Linked DNA regions of Caenorhabditis elegans. The protein of the gene in region 3 purifies or fractionates together with the protein of the main gene of each other region. This does not show direct contact. Each region holds a gene or a part of one and is shown on either strand. Other genes may lie near its edges. The genes, in order: lin-41, rack-1, alg-1 and hsp-16.1.

The links.
Region 1: the proteins of alg-1 (region 3) and lin-41 purify together in Caenorhabditis elegans (affinity purification with western blotting; 2 studies listed by BioGRID, with this or other methods). This does not show direct contact.
Region 2: the proteins of alg-1 (region 3) and rack-1 purify together in Caenorhabditis elegans (affinity purification with western blotting; 2 studies listed by BioGRID, with this or other methods). This does not show direct contact.
Region 4: the proteins of alg-1 (region 3) and hsp-16.1 purify together in Caenorhabditis elegans (affinity purification with mass spectrometry, with the first as the bait; 2 studies listed by BioGRID). This does not show direct contact.

What each region holds. Positions count from the first base shown.
Region 1 is NC_003279.8:9,335,978-9,344,280, reverse strand, and holds the start of lin-41 (Protein lin-41), read left to right. Parts: upstream 1-1,784; 5' UTR 1,785-1,963; intron 1,964-2,367; 5' UTR 2,368-2,383; coding exon 2,384-2,519; intron 2,520-2,566; coding exon 2,567-2,828; intron 2,829-2,871; coding exon 2,872-2,921; intron 2,922-2,964; coding exon 2,965-3,105; intron 3,106-3,152; coding exon 3,153-3,424; intron 3,425-3,811; coding exon 3,812-4,083; intron 4,084-4,137; coding exon 4,138-4,261; intron 4,262-5,328; coding exon 5,329-5,425; intron 5,426-5,464; coding exon 5,465-5,778; intron 5,779-5,993; coding exon 5,994-6,073; intron 6,074-6,122; coding exon 6,123-6,494; intron 6,495-6,854; coding exon 6,855-7,067; intron 7,068-7,112; coding exon 7,113-7,790; intron 7,791-7,837; coding exon 7,838-8,108; intron 8,109-8,154; coding exon 8,155-8,303. UniProt on the Caenorhabditis elegans protein: Heterochronic protein which acts downstream of let-7 in temporal patterning. Plays a role in the developmental timing of postembryonic hypodermal seam cell division and fusion events and adult alae production.
Region 2 is NC_003282.8:10,173,524-10,180,379, reverse strand, and holds rack-1 (Small ribosomal subunit protein RACK1), read right to left. Parts: upstream 3,701-6,856; 5' UTR 3,671-3,700; coding exon 3,556-3,670; intron 3,508-3,555; coding exon 3,324-3,507; intron 3,281-3,323; coding exon 3,133-3,280; intron 3,081-3,132; coding exon 2,550-3,080; 3' UTR 2,505-2,549; downstream 1-2,504. Other genes in the region: mspn-1 (Mitochondrial sorting homolog), read right to left, coding at 439-594, 1,396-1,837, 1,892-2,066, 2,112-2,232, 2,276-2,410; pxf-1 (Rap guanine nucleotide exchange factor), read left to right, coding at 6,050-6,139, 6,220-6,347.
Region 3 is NC_003284.9:13,945,494-13,956,408, reverse strand, and holds alg-1 (Protein argonaute-1), read right to left. Parts: upstream 6,921-10,915; coding exon 6,887-6,920; intron 5,148-6,886; coding exon 4,909-5,147; intron 4,807-4,908; coding exon 4,634-4,806; intron 4,488-4,633; coding exon 4,317-4,487; intron 4,264-4,316; coding exon 2,801-4,263; intron 2,746-2,800; coding exon 1,793-2,745; intron 1,741-1,792; coding exon 1,702-1,740; downstream 1-1,701.
Region 4 is NC_003283.11:9,084,394-9,090,604, forward strand, and holds hsp-16.1 (Heat shock protein Hsp-16.1/Hsp-16.11), read right to left. Parts: upstream 3,390-6,211; coding exon 3,264-3,389; intron 3,212-3,263; coding exon 2,900-3,211; downstream 1-2,899. Other genes in the region: hsp-16.48 (Heat shock protein Hsp-16.48/Hsp-16.49), read left to right, coding at 3,738-3,875, 3,931-4,224; hsp-16.49 (Heat shock protein Hsp-16.48/Hsp-16.49), read right to left, coding at 4,887-5,180, 5,236-5,373; hsp-16.11 (Heat shock protein Hsp-16.1/Hsp-16.11), read left to right, coding at 5,722-5,847, 5,900-6,211.

The DNA.
Region 1 (8,303 bases), on a different chromosome or scaffold from region 3:
TAAAAAAAGAAACGCACGCTTCGCGACGTTTCTTCTCCTTTTTTTGCGAAAAAAGTGAAAAAGTACACTACTCTTTCAAACATGAGGCCTTGCACTTTTGGCACGAAATTCTGTTTTTGCGACGACGGCGCGGCGGAGAAGATCACTGGGGGTGAGAGGGGAACACTGAATGGAAAAAAGAATGAGAAAGAGAGAACAAACTAGAGACACGCAGAGATCAAAAGCACTGAGCCCAGTGAAAGAGAAACACTTTGGTCTCTTCGTCTTCCCCTTCTTCCCCTTTTTTCCGCAAAAAAAAAAGAGTTTTCACTCTTTCTCTAACCATCTGTCCACTCTCGTGCAGCCTACCCCCAGCAGTCCTTCGGCGCGGCGCTCACCCCCAGGTGTGTAGAGAGTGGGAACGACGAAGAGACTACAGACATTTGGGGCGCCTGGGGGAGACAGCGGGGCAGCCTAGGGGTGGAAATTTAGAGAAATGGAGAGGAAAGAGGGGAAAAAGACTTCTACACACACACACAGACATACACACACTTTTATCGTTCCCACCGTGTTCAATGTCCCATAGGTTTTTGCGATTTTTTTTTCAAAAAATGAATTGAAGTTACTTCCAATGTATATCTGTTAGAATCTGTCTTGATATGAAAAAGATATGTCACGCCCCTTTATGATATTTTGAGACTTTAGGTCAAAAGGTCACAAGTTCAATAAGTCTTAGAAATAAAAATCAGTAATTGAAACGAAATTCATGAAACTTTGCTTCCAGATATCCGGACATGTAATATTTAATAAAAATTAGCAATGAATAGTTAGACATGTATCTTTTATATGGTTCATCCAGAACATAATTCGTACAATATATTGGTTTTTGCTACGTGGCCTAGAAAGTCCAAAAATTCGGCCAGTGATTCATCTTTAATTTTTCACTTCAGAACTTTGTGAAGCTTGCCGACCAAGTTATTTCAACGAGCAGATTTTCGAGAAAATGACCATAGCTCCTTTTAGGAAGGTGGCCGTGTTTTTGTATGTCGCGGCCACATAGTAAAAATCACTCGGTGTAAAATGTGATCCTAAGACAAATTCCAACTTTAAGTTTTTGGCCTGGAAAACCTAGAGAATTGTCCAGAAAACTCCTACAATTTCGAAAAAAGGGGCGTTTTTGTTTATTTTACTTTGATTAATCCAACGCGAGATGTTTATTTAGTTAGTGTTTTTCGCATTCTTCAATTTTCGCTTCCCGGTTTCTATTGCTTCGATTAAATCCCTGTAAAGCTTTCACAAAGCCTAAAATGTTTGCCATTTCCATCACTTTTTAAGGAGCTGCTCAAAAACTTACTTCCGTATTGAATTTTTTGGAAGGAAAAATGTTTCAGATTTTTTTGTTTAATTTTTTTTGAAAATTTATCGAAAAAACAAATTATGTCGCAAAAAATGTTTGGTAAAACAATTTTTGAGATAGAGAACCGTACCGTAATCCTTAAAGGCGCATAGTCGGTTGGAAAAATTTTGTGTTCGTGACGAGACCCAACACATAAAATTACGAGTTTTCATCTAAAAATAAGTGTTTTCAGTGAATTCTTCTATCAAATAAAATTTTAACAAATTTATTACAAAAAACTCTTTAAAAATATCTTCAGATACATTCAAATTCATTTCGCCCCGTATTTTCAAGGAAAAATCGATAAGCTACCGTAACCCCATTTGTTTTATTATTTTATTGTCGCATCATTTTTCGATAATTTTTGAAAAACATTCAATTAATATATTTAAGTCTCGTTTTATTTCAGGCCACGGTTGGCGAACGGGTAAAAAGGAAGAGCCGATCGCCTCGTTACTCAAGGAAAAGGCTCGACGTCGCTGGAGGAGGGAAAAGTTGGTTTTTTAGGATAAAAACCAACTTAAAGTACAAAAAGAGCCGGAAACGGCGGGAATGCGACGTTGGAAACGATCGTGATCTTGAATAAAGGTGAGGAACTTTTAAATAACAAAGCAAAATGCGAAAATATATTAAAAATTAAAAACGTCGAAAAAAAATTAATAAAATTTTTTTATTCGAAAAATTTTGACCTACCACAAATTTTTTGACTACTTAATTTTTTGTTTTTTGTTTTTATTTTCGAATATTAAATTGAAAGAGCGGCATTTTTCTGATTTTCCCATCAAAAATCCTTGTCATCAGCAGCCCTCGGGCCATTTTTCTCTCATTTTGTTCCATTATTTTCATATAAAAAGTGCACTTTTTTTGTGCTTCACTGACTTTTTTGTTCGATTAATTGTTCCATTCGTTCTGAAAAGTCAAAAAATTCATAAGTATTCTAATTGTAGAGTCATCGTTTGCCCTTTCCACTGATAATTAATCAACCTTTTCAGACTTGGAAAAAGTGAAATGGCGACCATCGTGCCATGCTCATTGGAGAAAGAAGAAGGAGCACCATCAGGACCTCGTCGGCTTCAAACTGAGATCGACGTGGACGCCAACGACAGCGGAAACGAGCTGTCGATGGGCGGAAGCAGCAGTGAAGGTAACACTTGAAAATTGAAAAAAAAGCTTCCAACGAAACAACTTCAGGTGACTCAATGTCCCACCATCGCGGTGAGCATTCACCAAACCATCATCATCAGGATAATCATCTTGGCTCGGGACCACCACCACCACAGTTCACTGGCTCACTATTTGACACTCCACCGTCAATGATTCAGTCACCACAGCAGCAACCACAGTTCCAGTTCAACACTGGATTCGGACTCGGACTCCCGCAAGACTCCTTTCGGTGCTCAGTCTGCTCCAAGAGCTCGACGATTGGAGTGCTGCCGTTCGTTTGTGCGCACAAGTGGGGTTTCAAGACAAATTATCAAAATGACAATTATTTTTAGAACGTGCCAATCATGCTACCAGATGACACCGTCCTCGTACGATCGACGGGGTAAATAAATATCTCAACTTTCTGTATGATTTATGAATTTTAGCTTGCAAGCTGTGTGGTGCCGTATCGACAGCCACCGCCAACTTTACATCGCAGATGTACCTGTCTCCGACGCTTCCATCACCGCCACGTGGAGCTCTGATGTCGGATTGTTCGACACCAACGATGAATAATCACATTAATTGTATGTTTTAATTCTCAATTTACACCGAAGAATAACCCAAATTCCAGCATCAACTCCACTTCATCAACCTCGTGCATTCTCATTCTCACTCAGTGGAATGCCTGGATCACCGTCTCCAGTGATGGGTGCACGGATGCCATCGTCTGCTGGTGGGCTCATGATGCGTCCAATTGGATTCCCCGACTCGGACAGCAGTTTGACATCATGGTCTCCATTGCAACAACCATCACAGCTTTCTATCAATAATCTGTCGAGCATCGGAGGACACCAGCAACAATCGCCGATGTTGATGCAAAATGTGTTTGATTCGTTGGCAGTGGTCAGTTTTTATCAAATTTCAAACAGAGAAAAGTACAATTTTGTGGAGTGTGGAGCTATAAACAAATTCAATTTCCCGAATTTATGATGTTATATATTATGTGGTCGCAAATCGAAAAATGGTTCAATTTACGGTTTCGCCGTCAATACCTAACGAGACCCAACTTCTGGGGGTGGACCTCGATTAAAAAATGAGCATTTTTCTACGGCCCCATAATATTTCAAAAATCATTTTTTTCGCAAAAAAAAGTTAGCATTTCTCTCTTCCCAAGAAACATATTTTTCTCCCTGGCTTCAATAAGTTCAATAAGTCTTTTTTCTAATTTTTTTTGCTAAATGCGCCCTCCTGCGAGCTGAAATTGCACCTAATTCCTCGTATTCTTTACAGAACGATGATACTCCTGTATTCTCTCCACTCTCTCCAACGAATACTTCAATGCATATGCCACCATCATTGATGGCATCACCAGATGTTCCAAAACATTCTGCAACCATAGCTCCACCACGTAATTCCATGTGCTCGACGCCACGTCTTCAATTGGCAACACCAATGTCTTCACAATCACAGCAAACTTTTCCAATTCCTTCACCACTTGGATCTCAGCCACAACAACAACAGCCAATGGGTCCGATTCAATGTCAAGGATGCGAATCGAAAATGTTAGTTTTCCCCTAAAACTTCAAAGATAATTAAATTATATTTAAATTTTTCAGATCGTTCGCCTACTGTATGCAATGTCAGGAAGCTTTGTGTATTCATTGTGTTCAAGCTCATCAGCGTGTTCGAGCCACCAAACAACATGCGTTCGTTGAGCTTCAGCAGTTGATGGCTACTTTGGTTAGTTTTTATCTTATCGTGTGTTACTACACGCTTTTTGCGTCTCAACACGACAATTATTTTTTTGGAAATTCATAAAAAGTATGCGCCTTTAAAACGTACTGTAATTAAACTTTTCCATTGTTTTTCATTAAATATTTGTATATTTATTTATCGAAAACCTAAAATTAAAAATTAAAACCATAAAAAATCGATGAAAATTCACAGCTACAAAAATTTGAAACTACAGTACTCTTTAAAGGCGCACACCTTTTTGTAGTTTACAAAAATTGACATTTTGAGACATGATACCGTAGTTTGGGAGCAAAAAATAATATATGTGGTCTATATTAATATCACCTTGATCCGTTTCAAGATTCTCCACGTGCTTGATGACGTGAATCGTTTGTAATCAGGAATCATAAAAAGAGTACGCAATAATCATAAATCAATGACTCCTGTCAATCAAGAAAAAACACAGAATCAGTACTTTTTTGGTGTATTTTTCCGTTTTTAAATGTCTTATCAGTAACTGATTGCAGGATTAGAACACAAAAATTGGCTGCCGACCGTTCCACTACATTAGTAAAACTTCTTGAAAATAACTTTTTGAAAACTATCAAGGAAAGTATTTCAGCTCACTTTTAGATTTTTAAATGAAACTTGTGTCAGCAGTTTCACATTTTTCAAACAAAACCAAGTTCCAAAAAGCTCCCAGAGTGTTTGCTTACCTCCAAACACCATAAACATCACCAAAAGCTTGCAAAAATCCACATTTCGAAGAAAACAATTTACTGAAAGCAGTTTCAGAGCTGAAATACTTTCCTTACAAGTTTATAGATTTTTCTATCCGAATATGTCCACGTACTAGGAAATTCCCATTTTTCAACATCCAGGCGTTCGTTTCCCTTTTTCTTCTCCTTCAACCACCTTTTTTCGCCATTATTCACAAGCCAGTCGGAGGGCCAATTTAGTGCCGAGAGAGAGAGAGGTGTCTGCTCCTCATCCGGTGCTCTTTTTGCACTATAGTATTATTTTTTGCTCGGCGAACACGTAATTCCTCTAAAATCTAAAAGTATTATTTTCAGATGAGCCGTGCAGTTCAACCACAACAAGCACAGCAATACACTCAAAATGTTGGAGGATCAGTTCGTCAAGCACTTGGATCAGTTGGAAGTGGAGATGGTATATGAAGATATTCTACAGTAATTCAAACTGTTTCAGTTTTCTTTTCAGGACATGTGTCTGGCGTTGAAAATGATTCAATTGGCAGTGGAGAATCATCACCTCGAAGCTCTTCTGTGTGTGGAACTCATGATTCAGTAATCATTGGAATCTGTGAGAATTGTCCTCATTCAGTTCTATTGTGTGCAATCTGTGTTGCTCAACATCCTGGAAAGCATCGAGTTCAGCCACTTGGAGATATTCGAGTTGCTGTTGGAGAAGTTGTTAATGAGAGTCAATTATTGCAATGGCAATGTGAGAAGACTGGTGATACTATCAAGCAGATTATCGATGGAATTGTTACAAATGCAACGGTAATTTTCATAATTTTCAGTCCGATGCGTTTTGTTATTTAAAAATAGAGTTTGGATCTATGGTGTCATCAAACTTTTTCATTCGATTTTTGCAGAGAAAAAAATTGAAATCGAAAAAAAAATTTAAAAATTAGCAAAAACAAACTATTTTATGAAATTTTATGTTTTTTAGTGAGAAATCGAAAAACTGACTATATAATCTCCACAATTTTCAGACCGCTGAAAACGAGATTCGAGCCGCTTTCGATACACACGTCAACGCTTTGGAGGAACGACGAAAGGAACTACTCAAGAGGTTTATTAATTTCAAATCTGCAATCACTAAGCTTTTCAATTAATTTCAGGGTGGAGACAGTGAAGAATCTGAAACTGTCAGTTCTCATTTCACAAGCAGAAAGTCTTCAATCAAAGCAAATTGATTTACAACAAGCAATTCAAACTGCAACAAAGTTGATGGATAGTTCTGATTGTGATGAGATGGTTCTTCGTCAAGTATTTGAAAAGTTGGCATCGTGCCAAATGGGAAATGAGGGCACCGAGCCAAACAACAATATTTTGAATGTATTGATGTTGGCATGTCAGGTGAATGAAGACGATCGACTCAAATTCACAGCTCCACAGGATGGAATTCTTCTTAACAAAGCTCGACAATTCGGAAATATTGAGAGTGGGCCATGTGCCAAGAATAGTTCAATTGTCGGAGACTCTTTTAAAAAGTTAGTTCAGATTTCAGATATATGGAAATTTTTTGTAAATTTTCATAGAATTGTATAAAATTATTGCTATTAAAATTTTTTTTTAATCATAGAAAATTTAGATAATTTTTTTACAGTTATAGGGAGGACTTTTTTAATGTGGTAAAGTGCATCAGAATTTGCAAAATCGCGATTTAAATTTTAGAATCATAAATAAAGAAAAATGGAAAAATTGGTCGCGTTACAGTAACCACTTTTTGTCGCAATTCGAAATTAATTTTTGTATTTTTTTTCAAAATCAGAGTGAAGTTTGCGGAAAACCAAACATGTGAATCATTTTTATAACAAACAATTATTTTTATTTAAAAAAAAAAATTTCAGAGCGATTCGTGAGCGTCAAACAGTGATCTATGTGCAACTCCGCGATGCATGTGGAGATCTGTTGTCTTCATCGATTGCTGCAACTCAACCAACATCCCAAGCACTTCTTCCTCATCAAGAACCACATTCCCATTTGGAACAAGCTATGCCAACTTCTGATGTACAGGCTTTTGTCATTTCACCAGATGGATCAACTGTAGAGGTCACAATGACGTATGATTTGACTACTATTTCCAAAAAAACACAATAAAATTTCAGACCCCGTGAGAATGGAATCGTCGCACTCTCGTATTATCCATCTATCGAAGGATCCTACACACTGAATATTCTTGTCAAAGGAACTCCAATCAGTGGATGCCCGACAACAATGGATATTCGACGTGGCAGGAACTATGATGAGATTGCAGCAAAAGGGCCAATTCTGACATTCGGAAAAGAAGGATCCGGTGACGGAGAATTATGTCGTCCATGGGGAATATGTGTTGATCAGAGAGGACGTGTTATTGTCGCTGATCGAAGCAACAATCGTGTTCAAATATTTGACAAAGATGGAAATTTCATCTCAAAGTTCGGAACCAGTGGAAATCGTCCAGGACAGTTTGATCGTCCTGCTGGAATAACTACCAATTCTCTGAACAATATTGTGGTGGCTGATAAAGATAATCATCGTGTCCAGGTATTCGATGAAAACGGAATGTTCCTTCTCAAGTTTGGAGATCGTGGACGTGCTGTTGGCTACTTCAACTATCCATGGGGAGTTGCCACGAATTCTCATAATGCGATAGCCGTCTCGGATACTCGGAATCATCGTGTTCAGATCTTCACACCACAGGGACAATTCGTTCGCAAATGTGGATTTGACTCCGCCTACTTCTTCAAGAACTTGGACTCGCCACGTGGATTGTGCTATCTGCCAGATGGACAATTACTCATTACGTATGAGAAAATATTAATATTTCCTTTAAAAACCTTAATTCTTTCAGCGACTTCAACAATCACCGACTCGCAGTCCTATCGCCCAGAAACATGTCAGAGATGAAGGTTTACGGAAGTGAAGGAGATGGTGATGGAATGTTCGTTCGTCCACAAGGAGTTGTGATTGATCCAGAGGGACATATACTTGTATGTGACTCTCGGAACAATCGAGTTCAAGTCTTTGCGTCTGATGATATGAGATTCATTGGCTCATTTGGACTTGGACCCGTCCCCAATTCTGGGTTCCAAATGCCACAAGAGCTACCGGCTCCGTATTCGGTTAGTTTTTGATTTCAAGAAATGTTTTTGTATTTGTACTTTTCAGTCTCTCGGTGGTCCATTCGGTGCTCCAGCCTTTTCATCGGCTCCAACTCCACTGACTCCTTCACCACGTCAGCTTCTGGATCGTCCCACTGATTTGGCAGTTGGACCTGATGGTCGCATATACGTCGTTGATTTCGGAAACAATTGCAT
Region 2 (6,856 bases), on a different chromosome or scaffold from region 3:
TCCACGTTGTGCAAAGAAAAAGGCTCGCAGAGCACGAAGGGTGTAATCGGAAGGACAACTGACACAAAGAGATGGGGTCACGTGATCGATTTATTGTTTCTTCAGATTCTGGAGATATCGACAAGTGAAAGAAAAGAGAAAAAGAGAATACAATCTAACCGGTAATCTAAACGTACTTATTAAATCAATGCAATACATAAGAATAGGGAAGTAAAAAATCAGGAATCAGAAATATTAGTTTTTGAATCTGTTCTAGAAGCTCCGGGGAATAAAAAAAAAGATTTTCGATTTTAAGTCAAAGCACCGTTACATTTCTTTAGCTTTATACTACAAAAAGGTATAATAAATTGAGACCTACAAGAACGAATGGACTACTTTTAGAGAAAAAGAAATAGAAGTTTACATGAAATAAAACATTCGTTTCTTGAACTTTTAAGACTAATCAAGTGTTTCTTCAACAAGTAAATGTGCGGCTCTCATATATTTATGCACTGCTGACTCAAAATCGGACTGTTCCAATGGAAGAAGTTGATTTACGGAACCTCCAGAAGCTACAGTAGCTTTTGCTCGAGCGAGAAGAGCAAGACGACAAACCTGAAAAATTACATAACAACACGATTATTGGCGTTTCATTTTCCTGTAACATAAAAACTTAAAATTTTCGAACGCGTATTATTTTTTAAGCTAATTATTGTGTATCTAACTTCTAAATATTTTTAGATGATTTTGGAAGAAGTTGAAATAATTTAAATGAGTTTTTTTAAAATTAAATTCAAAATTGTAAGTTTTTTCAAGCTCACTATTAGAACAACTTGTATTAAATATATACAATTCTCTTCACTAATGTTTTTATTTGTATTTTTTTTTCCTTTAAGGTTACTGTAGACAATTATATTACATTTTATCATATTACAAATTACATTTTTCCTTTAAAATCCAATGCATTTTTCACATTAGAAACATGAATTAATTGTGAAACAGCAATTTATTCTCATGAAGCTCGCAAAACTTTGCGATTTCTGCCCCAAATATTCTCGACACGAAATTTTATGTTAACTATGAAAAGGTGTGTACCTTTAAAGAGTACTGTAATTTCAAACTCTCGTTGTTGCAAAAGTTTAATCGAGTTTTCGTAGTTTTCAATAAAAACACATATACTTATTTGCTGTTTCACTATTAATTCATGTTAAAAATGTATTGGATTTTATAGGAAATCCAAGATATATTATTGTCTACAATTTTTCATGTTGAACAGATTTATATTAAATATTTCGTTACCGAATTCCACTAGAATATATGTGACATATATAGCCACAAAGCGAACTAATAATATTACGACCATTTCGGGGATGTAATATATTTGATTAAAATTTTAAAAAGAAAAAAAGCACGAACCTCTTTCAAATCACTTCCACTAAGACCTTCTGCTGCCTGTGCGATTTCTCCGAGATTTACAGTATTATTGATCTTTTCATTCCTGAGAATCACATTAAGAATCTGACTTCTTTGCTTGGCATTTGGTACTGGAACTTGGAATCTTGCAGTCATTCTGCGTAGAATAGCAGCATCAACGTCTCGTGGACGATTTGTAGCTCCCATAACAATGATTTGATCTCCAGAACTAGAAAATCCATCCCATAATGTCATGAATTGTGCCTTCATCATTGCTGTTGATTCGTGATCATGAGATTGTCTGTCTCGGAGGAACGAATCAATTTCATCAATGAAAATAATTGTTGGTTGAAACTTTTGAGCAACAGAGAAAACAGCGGCCGCAAGTTTTTGAGACTCTCCGTACCATTTATCAGTTAGGTTTGACACTTGAAGATTGATAAATCTGAAAGGTAGCAATATTTAAAACAGGTCAATTCTGCATTTATGAATAACTAACCGGCATCCAGCTGCCCTTGCAACTGCTTTCGCTAAAAGAGTTTTTCCACATCCGGGTGGTCCATAAAGAAGAATTCCACGTGGAGGAGACAATAAATGACTTCCACTTTGCGATGCGAATCTCAAGGGTAAAATAATGCGATCCTTTAGTTCAGCAACAAGTTCTTCGCAGCCACCTGTAAAATTTTTCTTTTTTTTTGCGAAACAATTTTCTGTTCTACCGATCTCATCCCAATCTGCTCCAACGTCTTCTCCGCCAACAAACTGCGTGGCGATTCTAATTTCGTGCTCTGAGAGTTCTATTTGACGATCGATACCAAGTTCATGAAACAGCTGTGCCACCTGTATATTAAAAAAACAAAATTAGTGTTGTAAATCTACAAACCTTCTTTTTGCTTTCTTCATTCACACTATAATTTGGATCCAAGTACTTGACTAGATAGCGCACTGATAGAAATGAAACTGCAGCCGCCGCCACTACTCGAATTGCAACACCGATCAACTCATTACGATCCGTCATCTCTAACATAACAAGTATACCTTGCTGTTTTATCATCTGCTAGATATTCTTGATTAACGCGAATAATTTATCTGACATGGTTGAATACAAAATTATATCAACAATTTTATTGAAGGGTTTTGAATTAACAGGTAACAAATTAGTTGGAAGCACGGATCGACACCTGGTACACTCGGATGATGTTATCGGTGTATCCGGCGAAGAGGGTTTGTCCGTCTTGAGACCAGGCCAAAGAGATACACTGTGGGCTGGATCCTCTTGAGCTTCCAGAGCTGGCGATTTCTGGCTTGAGCTCCTCGATCTCCTTCTTGTCCTCGAGATCCCAGATCTTGATGGAAGATCCGACAGCGGCGCAGAGCCAGTATCTGTTTGGAGAGAAGGACATGGCGTTGATGACGTCGTTTCCTGGAAGGGTGTACAAGTGCTTGCCCTCGTTGAGGTCCCAAAGCATAGCTTGTCCGTCTTTGCCTCCGGAAGCACAGAGGGAACCATCTGGAGAGACGGTAACGGTGTTGACGTATCCGGTGTGACCGATGTGGTTGGTCTTCAGACGGCAGTTTCCGAGGTTCCAGACCTTGACAACCTTGTCCCATCCTGCGGAGACGATCACTGGATCGCGGTTCGATGGAGAGAAACGAACGGTGGAAACCCAATCGGTGTGGCAATCATCCTAAACAATAGTTTCGATAAATCTTCCTATAAAAGAATTTGAAAAAACGTACAGTGATGGTGTACTTGCACTGGGCAAGAGTGTTCCACAGCTTGATGGACTTGTCGCGGGATCCAGAGACGATTTGTCTGTTGTCAGCAGAGAAGGCAACAGAGAGAACATCCTTGGTGTGGGAGATGAATTGACGGGTGCTCACTCCCCTATAAAATTGTTTGCACAATGTTTTTTTATTGAATTACTTACTGGTTGAGGTCCCAGAGGCGGAGGGTCTTGTCCCAGGATCCAGAAAGAGCGAATTGTCCGTCGGAGGAGATGACAACGTCAGAGACGAAGTGGTTATGTCCAGTGAGCGAACGAACTGGGCGACCGATTGGTCCCTCATCGACTGGAGCAACGCTGTCGACATCCCAAACAAGGATAGTCTTGTCTGAAAAATGTGAGTATAAATTTGAAAACGTTATATTAATTGACTTACCGCGGGAAGATGACAGGACAGTGGTCTTGTCGTTGCGGGTGTAGGTGGCGATTTGGGTAACCCATCCGGTGTGACCCTCGAGGGTTCCGGTAAGCTTCATTTGCTCTTGGACCATTTTGCTATCTGTGTAACCCCGTTCGATCTGCTAAAAATAAAAATGTTCCATATAAAAAAATGAAAATTTTGGAGAATAGAGCGAACGAAAACCATAATTTTGTTCGAATTATGTTAAAAACATAGCCACTTTAATTATTAAATGTTGAAAATGTTGAAAAAATCATTGCTTTAACAGAAAAATACAGAAAAAAGGAAAAATCGTCCTAAAAATTCGCGTCAAACTAGCCAGCCAGCAGCAGAGGAGAAGGGGTGAGTCGCTGCGAGACCCCACAGCGAAAGTCTATGCGCCTTTAACCTGGCACTTTGCCAACTAACGAATTTACGGAACAAATTAACTTTTTCTTGTAAATTTGCATCTATGAAGCAGTTTTTGACACTTTTTTAAATTTACTTATTTATTTATTCAATTATTTATGTTTAGCTTTTATTGTGACAGTTGTTTTCGAGTTTAGCGAGCCATTTATTTGAGCCTTAAAATTAATATTTCTGAAAACTGGTTTGATTTCTTCGAAAAATTATTATTTTCTCATTTAAAAGCAAAAATACTTTAGTTTTTACATTAAAATCAATGTAATGTGGGTTTAGTTCTAATTATTCTCCATCCATTCAAATTCATCGTGTCGAGCTCGAATTTTAAAGTTTAACATTTCAGCATCCGGGGTTGCATGTGTGCAAGACATATTAAGATTACTGCATGAGATATTGCCAGAAAAATCTGACGAGACTAGTTCTTTGCGCATATCTATTGCTTTTTCGTGGAATTCCTGTCAGCTTAGTCATGCTTTTATGGGTTTCAAATTGACGAAGCGACAAAAATGTTGACTTCTTGTAGAAATTGGCCAATTGTCCGTGAAAACTTTGGTATGTGCTTGAAAATCTTCGAGTTGTTTCCTTATAATGTTTAATACCTTCTCATCTTAAATTTTACGTTGATATGCCAACATCACTATTTTAAAGTTTTTTTTTCATTCAAAAAAGTCATTTTTATTTTGAAGAATTTTTGAATACAATATATTTTCAATAATTCCCCATTTTTTAGCTGACTTTCAATACAACAACAGAACCTTGCAATAGCAATAACATCACAACAATTCCCATAATGAAAAATATTTTTTTGCTCCTAGACATTTTTTCGATATCTGTTTTTTTCCAATGGGAATGTCAACAATCAACTCTTTCCTGAGCCAATCTTCACTCGATTCTCTGTCTTCTCTGCAATCAGTGCAATCTTTAACCCAATCAACCTGCGTCTCAACTTTCCGTTCCTCTCTTATTTCTTCGCAGCACCTTCCGTTGTATTATTGATCGGTTCGCAGTGGTTTGGCGGTGCTTTTCCGCACCGTCCCTCGCCTTTTCCTCCTCCAATTTCTTGCCTCTACACAGACTGTCCGATTTATTTCTTGTCCTCTTCGCCTCTGTGTTGTTCCTAGTCACATTCCTCCAAATGCCCGTCCCTATGTGTGTGTGCGGCCGCCGCATTCACTATCCGCCCGTTTAATCGCCCCCCCCCCCCTCAGACTTTGATTCCCTTCTTCACAACTTTTGCATCCTTTTCTTTCCTGTGTCTAGTGCCCCTGATTGTTTATAATCAACCTCTGATAGTAATAGAGATTAGACGTTGTTATCGGCACACGACGACATCATTATCACTTTGTAATTCAATTGGTGGTAACTGACTGGATGGGACCCTTTTTTCAGTTGTAGATGATCAGAACAATCGAAACTTTCATAAAGACACTAATCGAGGCTAATTTTTGATTAAGAACGGGAGTGGCAGAAGTTATGCCTTCTAGCTGTACATTTTCACTACAAATGTCCTAGTTTTTCTTTTATATGTGACTCCCATTTTAACAATTAACAATTTTCAATTGGTATTGTCATGCGGTACTTCTAGATTGTTGCAAAAATTGTTAAATATCATCATTGTAAGGAGTAATCAGTTAGTTGATAGTGCCTTCGTGATTTTTTAGAAAAATTGTTGTATTCATGTACTTTTCGTCTCTTATATTCTCATATCTTCATTAATAATCTAAAAGTAATCTGCAAATCCTCTAACATCTCTTGGGGATGAATATATACATATTCTTCTACCTCTCTATTCACATAAATAAACACAAAAGAAGCATCCGAGCTCCTCCTTCTCCGCCCCATTCACCCCATTACATGCTGATTTATGAGATTATCTGAACGCTCGTCCTCTTTCGCTTACTCTCTCTTTGCCGTCTTAATCTGAATGGAAGACCACATGGCTTCTGTTCAACGAAAAAATTTACATTTTGTACTTTTTGCCTTACTATGGTTCCCGAAATTTTATTTTTTATATTTTTCCTTCGAAAAAACTAACAATCTAGATATTTTATATTTATAGGAGAATCAGATGGATCCTCGGAAACCTCGACAGGATCCAGTCAATGATGCTCGTTTTTACGAATCCCTCATTAAACCACCGCATTTAAGGACACCAGATGTAAGTTTTTTTCGGATTAAAATGTTTTCAAAACAAATCAATATTCCACTTTAAAATTATGTAATTAATTATTTTTTCAGGATATTCGAAATGTATACGAGCAATTGCGGCAGCTCGACACCTTCAGTAATTTGTTTATAGGTCCATTGAAAGCTCTCTGTAAAACTGCTCGATATGAAAGGCATCCAGCACAATATATTCTTTTTCGGTGAGTTTTTCTAAAATAAATTTTAAACTGATTCGGACTCTGTTCCCGGAAAACATAAATATCAAAGGGAAAAATTAAATACAATTCCCCTCAAAAAGATGTTTTTTTCATTGAAAAACTTAAAATTTTAAAATATGAAGAACATCTTATCTTTCTCATAGACTAAAATTCATATGAAATTTTTTTTTTCAAAATTTTCAAAACAAAAAAAGCGTTGTATTTGATATTTCGTAAATGTAATCAGAATTTTTTATTATTTTTAATTCGACAACATTTTTGATTCATACAGTTTGTAATGACTTAAAATATTTTTTTTCTAGATAATTCACGAAATTTTCAATAATCTACTAATAGAATTTAAAACACATTTTAAAGGTTTTTAAAAAAATAGCTTAAAATGTTGGTCTTTTTTAACTTTTAATATTTTTTAAAAATTTATATTGTTAATTTTTTGAACAATATTTTTCGATTTTCCGAAAATTAAAAAGTTTCGTTGATGGGTAATCAAA
Region 3 (10,915 bases):
AATCCTCGTTTCGGACTTCAGTTGTTTCATTTACAACATCCATATTGTCTGCCGGTCTGAGATTTTTTGAAGGATTCTGAACATCAGATATTCATATACCCAGGGTTCAAGCATTCTGAAAATTTTTTACAAAAAAAATATAACAAATTTTGGTCCCTCATCGCTTCATTTGCAAAGAAAAAAAACAAAATCACACATTGTACAAAATGCATGAGAATGCAAATTACAACACAAATGCGGAAAAAGGTTTTCTGTGGGTGGGGTGGGGGGAAGACTTTCAGACATCAGGATCAGGGGGAAGTGGGAAAGGGTTTTGAAAGAGAAAAGGGTTTGTTTGGAAATACAGTAAGACACAAAAGTTGAGGTTGAGAGCGAGTTTTTTTTAGTTAGGCAGCTGGATCAAAAATATAAGAGCTTAGGGGACGTCAGGTAGAGATGTTGAAAGTATGACAAATTGTGGAAATGAAGTGAAGAGGGGAGTTTTTTAATATTATTTTTTGGGTTGGAAAATTGTAAGTTAATTTACTGAAGATTAAATCCTAAAGTTAGAGTAATTAAATGTTACAATAATTTTGTAAATAATAAAAACCCTAAAAATTAGTATTTGCAAGAAAGAAAGTGAGAGAGTGAATGAAGAAAGAATCAATTGGAAAGATGCACTTGACAAGATATATTGGTGATTTTTTTGATGACAGGGTATTGAGAGTTCAAGAAAAAATGAAAGATTGTAGCACAATGCAAAAATATTCAACTGAAGGTGATAAATATTGCGTCAGAATTTTCAAATATGTGAGTGAAGTGAACAATCACGAAGTTAATGCCATAACAAATGCAGAACTCTGCACGAAAATAGAAGACACCCAGAGTAAATTTTACCGATCACGTCTTGATGGGTGGTCAAGTGTTCCAGGCGTCCATCAGTATATGTGTTTCAGCATTGAAAGCCATAAACTGCCACATACGTGTGGATTTGAAGTGCAAGAACATACAAGACTCACCAGGAGCGCAGAGTAAAATCTAGCCCAAATTTCGGCTATTTTGCGGAGAAAACATCAGCATTCTCGTAATGTTTTTAATGGTTGTTTGGGGAAGGAAGTCGAATAGGTCAACATCAAACGCAACTAGGACTACTGTAGGCGATGAGAAATTGGAAGGAATTTGACAGATCAAGCCCGTAAGTTGAAGAAAGAAGCATTTCAAGATGATTGCTCAGCGAGAAGATGTGAGTGTGAAGAGAGGAGTCGTAGTGCTCGGTGCTCTCGGAGGTTACAAGGTGGAAAGACGACAGCAGTGCATTTGGACAATGTAATCAACTGCGAGGAAAAATATTAAGGATATTAAATGGGTTTTGAAGCTTTGTAGGCTACCAGGATGAGAGGAAAAGTCACTAAGTAAAGGCATTTTGGTTGTGGGAAGTGAAAAATGGATGGAAGAAAGAAAACAGTTACACGAGAGGTAGCGGCAATTAGAATTACAAATTAAATATGGAATTTGAAAACATAAGAGTCCGATTATAGAAAAACATTATAACATTGTAGCATATTGAAATCAATTTGAATGGAGATACAGATACAGATAAAGACACAGAATTATCAAGATAGATATTAGGTAGACATGACAATATTCAATACTCGTCTTCTGTTAGAGCAAGTTGGTGAGTAATAGCTATCTATGAAGTCGATTCCTAGGCAGATTCCTAGTTTAAGCAAAGTACATGACGTTGTTGGCATCCGGATGAACCTAAAGTGTTTAATTTTTTTCAAATAGAAACTAAATTAAATGCCAATATTACCTGCACAGCTCTAGCCATGTTCGACAAGGTGGTATCCTCGGAAGTTCCAGATGGCTGAGAACCTTCTCCAGAGTCATGCTCGCGATCGACAAGATGATAACGAGCGCGGAACGCTACCAAATGAGCATAATATGCTGGCGCTGGAATTGAAACGGATCGTGTGCATCTGACGTAGGTATGGCACATTTGATATGTGAGCTGTTGAAGTTCGTCGGCTGTCAGATTGTTGTCATCCCAAAGAACATGGTAATGGGATGGACGAGATGTTCCTTGAATACCAGCATGAGAGCACAAGTAGAAGTCAAACTCGGTTGGGTGGGTAATTCCTACATCGACAGTAGTTCCTGGCGGAATATTGTATGCTTTTCCGACTTGATCCTTCTTATCAACAGCAAAGAGACGAGTGTGATGTCTCTTTTGGACGGCGATGAAAGTGATTCCTGGTTGATATCCTCTTTCAAGCATCATGCAAGCCTCGCGAATCGCGCGAAGCTCATATTGAAGAACGTTGAAGAATTGCCCCTCAGAAACTCCATCACGGTAGACAACGATTCTGGCTGGCTTGAAGCGAGTGTTGCGGTAGAATTGAACAAGAAGCTCGCGGACCATGTAGGTTAAATCTGAGATGATCTCTTGACGATGTTGTTGGACACGGACGGTTGCAGCATATCTGCTAGGATGAGCATCCATTGAGCCGACAACTGCTGCGATGGATGGTTTGCGAGAGTCTCCTGCTGGTGGATGAGTGATGTCACATCCAAAGAAAATGACTGGTTCGTTGAAGATTCTTGGGCGTACGTTTGGAAGCAGAATACTGTTGACTCCTCCAAGCTTTACGTTCATCTTCAAGCATAAATTAGAAAGAGTTTGTGGAGTTGTTCGGATTGCGTTCTTGGCTTGCACGCACTGGGTGGCGATACCCAAAACTGTGTCTCCAACACGTTTAACTTCAGCTGAAAAATTAGAAAATAAATAATCAGAAATAAACAAAAAAAACAAATTACATACCATAAACTGGAGTTTTTCCAGGGAGAACAACCACTACAAGTTGAATTCCAGAGTAGTTTTGTTTCAAGTACTTGAACATTGGCTCAACCTGCTCGACTCCAACAGCGTACTTGCAGAAGCATGGATTTCCGACGATTGGCATACCAGCGTCGTTGGAAATCCGCTGAAGCTGGTTGGTGAACATGCGGAGATCGTTCTCCTTGACATGCTGTTGTTGAGCAAAACAAGCGATCGCCCAGACACGAACATCGATTCCAGTGTGGAACTGTTTTCCACGCATATCCCAAACTCCTTGATTCGGGAGAGCGGTGGCTCGAGTGCGTCCACCGTAGAGAAGTTTTGGAGCAGAAAGAACGCGTCCCTTGACTTCAGTCATTGCTGGGTTGATGGTGATTCCGAATTCGTGAGCAAATGGATCAGCTGAGAACTCGGCCTTGCGGACCAAGTTGGAAATCTCACGCTCACGTTCTGGAGCAGAACGAGCTGTAGCCTTAATCATTGTCGATGTCTGCACATCCGTAAGCTTCTTGATGCAACGTTGTCCTGGAACAATGTTGCACACCTCTGGTGGCAGGTAGGTGTGCTTTTGTTCCTGTCCAACTTGGAGGCATGGCAAGTGTGGGTATTTGAGTTGAATTCTGTACTTGTCATAGAAATACTTGGCGACAGTGCACTCAATAGTTTGACCAGTCTCCAATTGAAGTGGGAAAGTTTGAGTTTGAGCTGGACGACGAGTGACGTTGCAGACACGATACTTTCTGCGCATTTGTCCACAGTGGGTGATTTCAATTTTGAGACCACGAATTTCCTTGGTGAACTTGACACGTTGAGCATCAGATAGAGCACGACGCTCAGCAAGAGCTTGAACTGGAAGCTCCAAAACTTCGGCGATGAACTCAATGACTGGCATGGAACGATAGAAAGCAGTCGCAGAGACATCAATGTTAAGCATCATTTTCCACTGAGATGGGCGAACCGACTGATGGAATCCAAACCAGACTTCACGGCCACCCCCGAGTTTGCTCTCGGCGTGATATTGTCCAGCGGAGTGGGCACCTCCTGCGACAGCTCCAGAAGCCTGGGGAGGGCATGATCCTGCCATGACTCCAGAAGCATTAGGAACTGGTGGCGAGAAGAATGAACGTCCGACAGGAGTGTATTTCAAGCTTGGAAGATGACGAAGAATGACATCCATAGCTTGAACGGCTTCGAATGGAACCTGGCGAACTCTTCCTTCCATGGCATCCTCCAGAGTGGAGAGAGAAACTTGTCCGACCCATTTCAAAGAAACCGAAAATTGACGCTCAACGGCGGAGTCTCCAGGAAGTGTGACATCGAAATCCATACGTTCTCTTCCAATTGGAAGGGGCTCGCGGGTGTACATATTGCGCTTTCCATCGTAAACAGGGCGAATATTAGTGAAGTACTTGGAGAATGCGCTTATCAAGCAGCTGATAATCTCGCTGAAAATTGATACAATTAATAAGTTAGTTCATTTTGGAATAATAATGATTACCGATTAACTCTTCTTGGGCACTTGTCTGGAGTAACATCGACCTGGTAGTGTTGAATAGTTCCTCCAGGAATTCTCACTGCAAAGTGGTTGGCGCGAAGAAGAATTGAGCGACCCTCAACTCCGTGGTTTGGGCGTCGAGGACATTGGAATTGAATACCACTCTGGTTGCCGCTGAAAACATTTACATTTAAAAATTCCACATTTTTTCGAAAATCCCTTTTTTGAAATCAAAAATTAATGATTGCCAGTTATTGCTTCTCACGGGGGTTTTTTTTTTGATTATACCGTATTAGTTCATAACATTTCAAATTTCTTACCCAGGTAATTGTCCCGGTGCTCCGCCTGGTAAACCGCCTCCAAGTGTATTTGCTGGTTCTCCAATTGAGACACTTGTATTACCAATGGGAACTCCTGGAGCCAGGCTTCCGGCTTGTCTTTGAGGAACATCGCTAAATGTTTGTGGCTGAGTAGGCGGAGAATTAAATATTTCCTGAAATACAATGTGTAAGTTCAAAGATTTAAAAATTATTACAAACTAATAACAAGATAATATCAGATGTGTACACTGCGTTTTTAAACGATGAAAACTTACTTCTAGATCATTTTGGAGCGCTGTTGACGCAGCCGCTTGTGCCGACGGGAAAGGCGGCTGCTGGGTGGCTCCAGATGTTGGAACAACTTGCGAGGAGGTGGACGTCGAACTAATCGGTCCACTTGGCAGAAACGACGATGTTGCGCTCTGTGGTTGCTGTTGAATGGTAGAATTCATGACTCCTGGCAAATATTGCGGCCCGCCGGACATTGGGTCGTTTGAGGCGACGTTAGACGACTCTGAAATGAATGTATTGTGAAATGATTGTTCAGGTTTTTTTATAGATCGTCATGCATTTTTGGAAAAAAATTCTACAAATGCAGACAAACCCAAAACTTAAAAAAGAGAAAATCGATATATAGATTGGAAACCGACAGGTTGTTCGTGTGAGGTACGGGGTGGAGGAAAAGAGAAAGAGAAAAGTAAAACAGTGTCGGGCAGCGACGTCAAAGGAGGACGCAACGGCGACTGGACGACGAGGACACGACGAATCGGAAATCGGACTGCTGCGCAAGCGGGCGCTGACAGAATGCATTCCGAAAGATCAAGAGACGCAGACATTCGGTGGCCAGTACTATACGCTATTGTACACTAACAAGAGACTATGCGAAATCAGGAGACGGCAGAGATAGTGTGTCGCGAGAGAGGCGAGTGGAACAAGCAAAATGAGAGAGAGTTGGAAACTACCAAATACAGGGGGAAGCAGGCTGCCGGGAGCGGGTTGGATCGACTCACAAAACAAAGAAAAAGATGGTCTGTGGAGAGAAAGGGAGAGAAACGCGCGGAGTGCTGAGAGCCGATGCGATTAAACATATCGATGTGGGTCAGTTGTCCGATCGGGTGGAATAGATTTGCGATTAGAAGGAAACGCAGAGAGATAGACAACGGACTTTTCGTATGGAAATAGTATGAGTTGAAAAGTGACATAAACTCTAAACAGAAGGGCTTCCAAACAAAAGTGAAATTTGAGAGGCAAAAAGAGAAGGTGTTGGTTGTAAAAATCACCACATCTGGTTGCATACTGTCGTGAATGTGAATGTGGATTTTTAGAATTTTTAGAATTGTTTTTGGCACAATTTTGAGAATTGCAAAAAAAACTAAATGCGCAAAATTGGTAGTAGTAGTTAATTCATCCATTCATTCTGAAAGGATTCCTACATAAATATTAGAAAAATATAACAATTATAGTAAAATTGGAGAAGCACCATAAGGTTGTTCAAAATCACTTATTTAATCACTAAATATTATAGAAAACAATTTCCAAAAAGTTGCTTATTTGTTGCCAGGAGGGTCAACAGAAAGTTTTCACTTCTCATAATTTGAAAGTCTATTGAAAATTATTTCATACAAGTTCTATGCCAAGTGAAATTTCTACAGACTAATCAGAACTTTGACAAAAAAGTTTTATTTATTATCTCAGAAATGTTGAAACTTGGATATTTTTCGATTTTCAATCTCAATTTTTAAAATTTTAAACTTGATTTTAAACACTATTTTCAGTATATTTATCAACGTTCTCACAGACAGTTTTTCGCATTTCAAAAACACTCATAATTATTTTCAAGACCTTTATCAAGTCTCTGTGGTGTCGAAAATCTTGAAGAAATATACATATTTTTCTCAATATCAAAAATTACACTTGGCATTTCTTTCTCAATTTTTAATGCAAATTAACATTATTTCCATTATTGAAGAACACATACAGGATTGTCCCAAAAGTGAACAAATGAATATTTTAAATTATACACATGTGTGAATACAAATATTTTCTAATGGCAAAGTCTCATGAAATGTTTGATGTTAAAGTCAGGGAATTATGTTGCCGGACACCTTTTCAGATTGAATATTAATCTCCCGGAAAGTGCAATTAGATTTGGTGGAAAAATGGAAGAGGAAAAATTGTTAGAAATAAATCTTATGATAACTTCTTTAGTACAGATGTTTATGTTAAGAATAAGTAATAATAAAATAAGCTTACCATTTGTGTTGGTGTTGTTCAGTTCGGCAGCCATGAGAGGGATTGAAAGCGCTGGGTTGGGTCAGTGAGATGGGAAGAGTAGCGGTAGAAGCTTCTGGTTCCTTTAGTTATTGTATCCTTTTAAAGCAATAATAAGGGTAAGGAAGAGGTAGAAGGAGGTAGAAGGACGTCGGTGTTGTCAGTCGGTTACAGATTCGTCTCTTCGAGTTGGCAGGGGTAGTGGAGAAGAAAGAGTTGAACAAATAGTAGTAGAAGAGGAGAAAGTTGATTTTGGCCCGATTGCTGATGATGATTTTCTCAGTGATTGCTATTGGTTAGATTCCTGAATGATGTTAAACTCGTCGTCAGCTACACCGTCTGAAGTGCATATGCCACGAGTGGAGTTGAGAGACTTTCTTGAGGTTTCTCTGAAAATTATTGATGTTTCGGGAAGAAAGAGGGGGAAGGTGAACGAGGGAATGGAGAAGGAAAAAGGAAAAAGCAAAATAGAACAGAAACTGAAAAACAAAATTCGGAATGAACACGATCAAAAAATGAATTCAATGCGAAGGAAGTGTTGCTGGGAAGTTAGCCGTAATTTTCAAATTTATCACCAATTTGTGAAAACACATCAGAAAAAATTGGTGTCTTACTCAAAATTAAAATAAAAACTTTAGAATATTGAAAACTTTGTATGGTATGTGAGCCCAATGTTTTGAATAACTACAAACTGTTTAAAAATGGTCATTTTTAAAATCTTCGAAGCATATTTAATAACAAATCAAACTATCAGCTATGTATTTGAAAAATTTTTCAACTTGTATGAATAGTTTAAGGAAGCTAATACATTTCTGTTTGAAAAATAGCATTTTCAAGATTAATTCAAAATAACGACTTCCGCAAATTCGAAAGATCTTTCAATAAAGAATAAAGTGCATCTGTGAACTTCCTGATCTAGACGAAACACTAAATCCTCTCAAGCACTAAAACTGAAAATGAGAAACGATAATGGTCGGGATAATCTCTTTCCATCAGCTAATCTATGAATACTGAAAAGTACAAGACGGTTCTAGGCCGCACACGCCATTGAAAGCCAACGAAAACCACGGCAGATGGTGGTTAGTAAAAGGGAAAGAAAGAGGAAGAGTGGCAGAAGGACCTATTGGAACTGGACGAGGCTGCCCTGGCATTAGACCAGCGAAAATGTGTAATGGTCCAAGAGACACAGAGAAGCGGGGGGAGAGAGATGCTTTGAGCAGTATAGTGCATTTTATGAGCGGCCTCCCGTCTGTCCCGTCAAGGGTTAAGGTTCATGTTTATGGGTAGTGCCGTGCCTGACACCGAACATGAACAGTTTTGGAATGGACTTAGAAACGATGACAATGAAAATTAAAAAGTTTAACAGACCCAACAATTTAAAAACCAAGTTTCGTTAAAAGATACCCAAGGGGGTGGTTTTTCTTCCGTAAATAATTTGATAATTTTTACAAAAGTGGAAAGTATATTTGCACTAATCAAAAAATTTTAAGCATGAATGAAAGTTTTATGAAATTTGGGTAATATTTTTTGATGAGGAAACAGTTATAAAAGTGCATATTATGTACAGTATGACACTTTTATTTTTCTTTAAACTTTTATTTAAAAAAACACATGGTTGAAATTATGAGCATTCTCATTTATCGTTTTGAATTTTTTCAGTGAAAAACTGTAATTTTCCAATTAGCAGTGATCATAGATTGCTGATTCGTAACACTAAATATAGGTCAGCCATTGATCGCTACCCATATTTGTTCCGTACACACCCACTCAATGCCATCGGCATATTTCTTTTTTTCTATTATTTTTGTGTTTTATATAAAAATCGCCTGACCTTTCCTTGATAAACGTTCGATTATCAGACAATATAACTGGTTGCAAAGCTAACTGTAACAAAGTGACCCTCAGGAAACACAGAGAAACTAAAATAAAAAGTGGTGTGACGGTTCTGTTGAGCATTTGTCGACCGGCTAAGTAAAAATAACAATTTAGACAAATATATAGTACCTAGAAATAATTAGCACGTCTAGTGAGCGACGCCGGACAGCACAAAATGCAAAGACTACGCGGTGACAAGCGGTGACGGAATGCATGTTAACTACGATAAGAAAAATATAAAATTAACGAGTGATAGGTGTAATATGATAGTGCTCTTAAGTTTGACATGTTACACAAAAGTATACAAAATGAAGTGTCAAGAAATAAAAAAGCTTATAAAAAAGTTTATGGAAACAAAAATGTAACTGTCTTGTTATTTTTTGAAATTGAAATCTAAGTTATAACGTATTATCAAAATATTAAAACTGTCACCTCAAATTTGAATCCAGCCAAACCCGCGAAAAATTCCCTCTCGATTTCGGATGCCGAAAATTGGCTCGAATCGAGAGATGAAAAATTCGGGAGATGCTGGAATCAAAAAGGTCTCCGCCTACTTTCTTTCAGATTTCCGCCGGTCACCGCAAAATTGAAAAGGGTGGGTAATACCTGGCGGCCGACAACCCACGGGTTCCGCGCATCGCTATAAATTAAGTAAATTAAGCCACGCCCTTCAAAAACACACCAACTGAATGGGTGTGGCTTAATTTACTTAATTTATAGCGAGGCACGGAACCCGTGGGTTGTCGGCCGCCAGGTATTACCCACTCTTTTCATTTTTGAAGTGTCCGGCGGAAAACTAAAAGGAAGTAGGCGGAGTCTTATTTGATTCCAGCATCTCCCAAATTTCTCATCTCTCGATTCGAGCAAATTTTCTGTATCCGAAATCGAGAGGGAATTTTTCGCGGGCTTGGCAGGATTCAAATTTGAGGTGACAGTTTTTTTTTAATATTTTGATAATAACAGGTGTATTAAAATATTAAATATAGGGAAAGAAAATAGGGAAACATCACACCATTAAAAAGTTCAGTGTAAGCTAAAACATTGTCAACTAATGCTGTTCGAGAAATAAAAAACACTATCGATTGAAAGAATCGAAAATGCCCATATCAATTCAAAGCATCAATTATCACACCGATAATTAACCAACCCTACATGCAGTGGACACTCGAAAAAACAGACTTCTTAGGCCCGTCTCAAGTGGTGTAAGTCGAATTTTTCTCTGCAAAAAAAACAAGGACACGTTTTCAGCATGTTTTAGAAAAAAACAGTAAGGAAAAATAAATTTTTGTGACTTGTTGCACTACACGGTCACATTACATACTCCACATGATAGGTTATTTTTAGAAAGAAAAGTTTTTTTCGGACTATCAGATTGTTAGCAAGTAAAAAAATGAAACATGTTCTGTTTTGGAATATGTTAGTCAGAAGAATACTGTCATTTTGTTGTTATCAAGCAGTTATGATAAATAGACTTTGACATTTTCCGAAAATTTATATCGTTTTGTTCAATTTTTCCAGATTGAGAGTTTCCAGAATATTTTTGTGTGTACATTTTTGTTAATGAATTATTTCTTTAAAAAAAACATTAAGTCAGTTCATTAAATCATCTTGTGAAATGTCCAATTATATAAACGAAAGCTTTTCTAATTAGTAGATGAAGAGTAGTGATATATCAAATCCCTTGACGAGTTAATCATAGAGTAGAGTAATCATGCACACTCACACACAAAAGCAAAAAGGGAAAACGGTTGTGTTGTCTCTGAACGTCTGCGAGTTGCAAGAAGAGCGCCCTCTACATATTCCACGGTTGGAGAATAGACGAAAAAACACACACACACACATAGCATGCGAAGAAGTGAGAAGCTGGCCGCGACGCAGCCGCGCCCGCAAACGTACCACGCTGTGATGACACACGCACACTCACTGGGGCAAGAAGAGAGATAAAGCAGTGGCGTGAGCCTCTAGAGAGTCGGCGGTGCAAAAGACGCAAATGAAAAGAAGTTTTGTGTGTGCGGCGGTGCAACTGAGCAGCGGAGCACAAGGGATGAGTCCCCCCCACAAACGGACTTTCACACACACACACACACCCTCAAAAGTCAAAATTCTGCTCTTTACAGAAATTTTCTTGTTACAACA
Region 4 (6,211 bases), on a different chromosome or scaffold from region 3:
CTTGTTTATCCAAAATTTTCTACTAAACTTGTGCCATTTTGGCATCTGTCAAACCAGTTTAAAATCATTAACGATTGAGTACTTTCTAGGTTCTTCATCTCTTCTAAACATTGAACACTCATGTCATCGTGCCGATAACGGAAAACGGGAGTGTTAACGAAGTAGTCGCAAGAAGAATCAGAACTGATCGAAAATCTTCTCCAGTTTTTTTTTGAATGTGTTTGTTTCAATTTTGGGGACTCCTGTACGAAAACAGTCTGCCGCCGGTTTCATAGAAATTTTCAACAAAAAATAAAAGATTGTTTGGTCATAGAGCAGATAAATATTCGGTACAGACAATGGAGTACATGAACTTTCCGCTGATGTTTGTTTTTGAAAATTGAAATAACAAGTATGTGACATTTATCGCAAATTGTTTTATTTCAGGTGACTAGGGAAGTGAGAGATGCAAATTTTTCATTCTCAGTAGTTGTCGAGACGATTTCTCTGTTTTATTTTTTTTGACTAAATTTTCTACGGTGTTCGTACTCTCAAGAGTTTTTCTGTTTCATTGTAAAATACTGTTTTCCACTGATCAATTTTTATGTTTCTGACTAAAAATCAAGAGATCGGGAATTTCAGTATTAAATTCGAATTAACATGCGAATAGAGTGGATAATGAATTCTAATTATCTGTACCCAATGTGAAAACTTCAATTATTTTCTCTCCCTTTTTCAAGAAAGACAAAAAACGTAACGATTGAACATCACCAAGACACAATAATTCTGACCGACGTCTTGTCTGGTAAATAATCACAAGAAAAAAGGGATTCAATGAAAAAGATAACAGAATAATCGTTTTGAATGTGGTCTGAACAACAATAACACTTGTTTCGAAAAAAGTTGTTTTCAAGCAAAAAAATAAAACCGCGTTTTATAAAAAATTATACTTTTTTTTGTAAGGAAAATGGGGAAAAAAGAAATGCAATATTAAAAATTATTTTAAATAAAAAATAACTGCATATTCATAATCGAGTTTCAAGTACGGGACAAAAAATGATTTGGGCTCTATGTATTACAACTGACTGTAATTCTGCATTGAATTTTCTGAATGGTTTCTGTTTTAATAAATTAAATGTGGTATTAAAAACTATTTTCAACGAATGAGAAAAAGTTTCATCACTTTTAAAATGATATTTTGAATGGAATACACTTATTATTTTTTTTTTGTTGAAGATCAATAAAAGTTTCTGTAATTCATAATATTACATTATCTCTAACCTGTACAGTAGTCTCTAGGAAAATCATCATTTTCAATTCATCACATGATAAACGGATTGAAAAGTGCAGATCACATTAAATACAATTATTTTAATCTGCTGAACAATTTGAGTTCTCATAGCTGGCATTCCTTCCTTATTGCATTCTACATTAGCTTTCTCTTTTATTTTTGTGACGTAAGGCTTTCTGCCGTTTGGAAAAAGTGATCCAGTCTAAAGCACAAGACGTTCATTTCATTCTATCATATTCATCAGATAACATTCTTTTCAGTGCCTTGTTGTCATGCGTTCTTTTTTAGGTCGACTACACACCAAAAAACGAGTTTTTCTACCAGCTTTAATCCTTCCTTTATAGACGGTCATACATTGACTTATCTGTTATCTCACTTGTAGTCTGTGATTGTCTTAGAAGACCATCAAATTGTTTTAGGGAGTGATAGAGTATCACAAAGTGATGACTCATCACAACTAATAGTGTTGATACCACGAACTTTTTCGTCAAACGAATATTTATTCCATAGATGAACGGAAACCTACTCGTGACTCGTTACTCTTCACTGAACCTACAGTAATCCTATTAGAAACGAATCAACAACCAGGGAATATGTCTTTCGACAGATTGATCATTCAAAAAAAGAATAAAGATTAAAAACTTGGGAACTTATTCCATCATTCACTGCCCAGTGTCTGATTTTTGCTTGCAGAAAAAGGGAGAATAACACGAAAGTGTTGAAAAACCGGAATATTATCTCATATCATATCACTGGTTTTCTAAAGTCAAGCACTCAAGTCTTACCTGGTCAATGCCTAACTGACTACATTTACGATGGATTGTAAAAACATGGAATGGGTGTACGAGTGTCCAACGATCATTCGGATCACAGTTACAATGTTTATTGATCTCTGAGACATTCTTAAATCTGGAAAAGATATTTAAACGAAGCAAATAGGGATTTTTAAGAATACAAACATTTCTTACAATTGTCTGTACTGAAAATGATGGCCGCGGACCGTTTAACTTAGTTTGATTTTTTAAAGATTTCGTTAAAACTTTTGTAAATTGCCAAATTTTCAACAAAAAAAAACTTTTGAGAAATTAAAAGCTATCCATGTTCCAATTCCTGCAAAGTTTAAATAGAAATGGCCAAAACAAATTACACTATACAAATAAAACCACTAGCCATGCCAACTGACTCAGATATTTTTCGGGGCCGCGCGCACGCAGCCCCGATACGCAAAAATTAAGCTGTTGGCGAATCTCAACTCGAGACTGCCACACAGGTCAGCCCATCCAAAAGTGCAATGGATAGGCCTCACCATGGGGATCCCGCCTTCATGATCGCGAGATAACCCCCAGCCAGGTAAGTTTAAGAAGTGGCGGTAAGAGAGGGTAAGGGTGTTGTATAGCATGACATCTGGCGGGTTCCGCGGAGCAATGCAGAATGTGTTAGGATGGGAGGGGCTGTGCAATACCCAAAAATAGGCATTATGCAAGAAGTACATTGCCGGCATTTACATATTTATTACTAACTTTCAAAAAATATCACAAATTCATATTATTTTTAAATTTTATTGAAACAGAATACTGGAATTTATAGTAATTACATGCATAGTTCAAAAAAATCATAAAATTACAATAATTATTCAGAAGTTTTTTGTTCAACGGGCGCTTGCTGAATTGGAATAGATCTTCCTTGAATCGCTTCCTTCTTTGGTGCTTCAATTGAAAGTTTTCCATCTTCTGAAAGATTTGAAGCAACTGCACCAACATCAACATCTTCGGGTAGAAGAATAACACGAGAAAATGATTTCTTTGAATATCCATGTTCAGTCTTTAATTCTTGTTCTCCTTGAATTGATAATGTATGTCCATCCAAATTAATTTTCAAATCTTCTGGCTTGAACTGCGAGACATTGAGATTTATGGCAAACTTTTGATCATTGTTAACAATCTGAAAGAAATCTTTTTTATACAAACTCTTGAAAAAAAAACGTGTTACTTACCTCAGAAGATTCAGATGGAGAGCCTCTGCAAACTGGAGTAAATTGACGTTCCATCTGAGCCATATCTCTCATGAGATCACCAAAAACAGAACGTTGAGCTGGACGGAAATAGTGGTAAAGTGACATGATTGTAGTTTGAAGATTTCACAATTAGAGTGAATGTTGTTTGGTTCGGTTTTGTCACTGTATTTATACTCATTTCCACCTTTTTCTAGAACATTCGAGCTGCTTCTTGCAAAAGGAGGGCGACTCACATTCAGAACATTGAGAAATAGTGTGCGTACTGAAGAAACCCAGATACTTTTTCAATCTGCGTCTCTTTGCACCTATGGGGTGTATTTTGAAATGAATGCATCTAGGACCTTCTAGAACATTCTAAACGGCTGCAGGATACGGGTATATAAGCCAATCGTGTTCAGAGGAAACCAATACACTTTGTTCAAGTGCTTACTGTTCATTCTCTAAACTTCAAGAATGCTCATGCTCCGTTCTCCATTTTCTGATTCAAATGTTCTCGATCATTTCTTGGATGAAATCACTGGATCTGTTCAATTTCCATATTGGAGAAATGCTGATCACAACTCATTCAATTTTTCCGACAATATTGGAGAGGTAAGAAAATAATCTCTTTTTCAATTGTTTATTTGTCAAATGTTTTATTTTTCAGATTGTAAATGACGAATCTAAATTCTCTGTTCAACTCGATGTTTCTCATTTCAAACCAGAAGATCTTAAAATTGAATTGGATGGAAGAGAACTAAAAATTGAAGGAATTCAAGAAAAAAAATCAGAGCATGGATACTCGAAACGATCATTTTCAAAAATGATTCTTCTACCAGAAGATGTTGATTTAACTTCTGTCAAATCTGCAATTTCGAATGAAGGAAAACTTCAAATTGAGGCTCCAAAGAAGACTAACTCATCTCGTTCTATTCCCATTAATTTTGTTGCAAAACATTAATCTTTTATTGTATTCCAAATATTCTTAATTTCAATAAAGTCATTAATTTAATTTATTCATGTTCTCTAGCATAACAAAAACATCAAATCCGACTTTCCAATTCAAATATTTCAAAACAACATAATTGAAGTTATTCCAGAAACTTTTTATGCAAAAAATTTATTAGTCTCAATAAATGTTTTAGCTTGAATTTATGCTTAAAACAAAAAACATAAAAAATGTTTTAAAAAAATTACAGTGCGTGCAACTTCTACAGGGCCCTCATAAAATAGGTTCTTCAAGAGAAAAATCAGAAAATATTTTAAGCTACCAGCTACTCGGCTTCTCAGAAAACTCCTGCGACTTGATAAAAACACTTAAAAACTGTCAAAAGCTGTTATAAAGGTGCAGTTGATCAACACAGTTGTGAGCGAAATTAAGCTGAAAAACTGAATTTTGAAAAAGTTGCAAAAGTCGTTTGAAACGATGCAGGAATTTTTATAGCTAAACGTTTAACGGTTGGTAAAACGTAGCATGAGTATGCTGTAAAGTTGAGCCGTTATGTTGTTTTGAAATATTTGAATTGGAAAGTCGGATTTGATGTTTTTGTTATGCTAGAGAACATGAATAAATTAAATTAATGACTTTATTGAAATTAAGAATATTTGGAATACAATAAAAGATTAATGTTTTGCAACAAAATTAATGGGAATAGAACGAGATGAGTTAGTCTTCTTTGGAGCCTCAATTTGAAGTTTTCCTTCATTCGAAATTGCAGATTTGACAGAAGTTAAATCAACATCTTCTGGTAGAAGAATCATTTTTGAAAATGATCGTTTCGAGTATCCATGCTCTGATTTTTTTTCTTGAATTCCTTCAATTTTTAGTTCTCTTCCATCCAATTCAATTTTAAGATCTTCTGGTTTGAAATGAGAAACATCGAGTTGAACAGAGAATTTAGATTCGTCATTTACAATCTGAAAAATAAAACATTTGACAAATAAACAATTGAAAAAGAGATTATTTTCTTACCTCTCCAATATTGTCGGAAAAATTGAATGAGTTGTGATCAGCATTTCTCCAATATGGAAATTGAACAGATCCAGTGATTTCATCCAAGAAATGATCGAGAACATTTGAATCAGAAAATGGAGAACGGAGCATGAGCATTCTTGAAGTTTAGAGAATGAACAGTAAGCACTTGAACAAAGTGTATTGGTTTCCTCTGAACACGATTGGCTTATATACCCGTATCCTGCAGCCGTTTAGAATGTTCTAGAAGGTCCTAGATGCATTCATTTCAAAATACACCCCATAGGTGCAAAGAGACGCAGATTGAAAAAGTATCTGGGTTTCTTCAGTACGCACACTATTTCTCAATGTTCTGAATGTGAGTCGCCCTCCTTTTGCAAGAAGCAGCTCGAATGTTCTAGAAAAAGGTGGAAATGAGTATAAATACAGTGACAAAACCGAACCAAACAACATTCACTCTAATTGTGAAATCTTCAAACTACAATCATGTCACTTTACCACTATTTCCGTCCAGCTCAACGTTCTGTTTTTGGTGATCTCATGAGAGATATGGCTCAGATGGAACGTCAATTTACTCCAGTTTGCAGAGGCTCTCCATCTGAATCTTCTGAGGTAAGTAACACGTTTTTTTTTCAAGAGTTTGTATAAAAAAGATTTCTTTCAGATTGTTAACAATGATCAAAAGTTTGCCATAAATCTCAATGTCTCGCAGTTCAAGCCAGAAGATTTGAAAATTAATTTGGATGGACATACATTATCAATTCAAGGAGAACAAGAATTAAAGACTGAACATGGATATTCAAAGAAATCATTTTCTCGTGTTATTCTTCTACCCGAAGATGTTGATGTTGGTGCAGTTGCTTCAAATCTTTCAGAAGATGGAAAACTTTCAATTGAAGCACCAAAGAAGGAAGCGATTCAAGGAAGATCTATTCCAATTCAGCAAGCGCCCGTTGAACAAAAAACTTCTGAATAA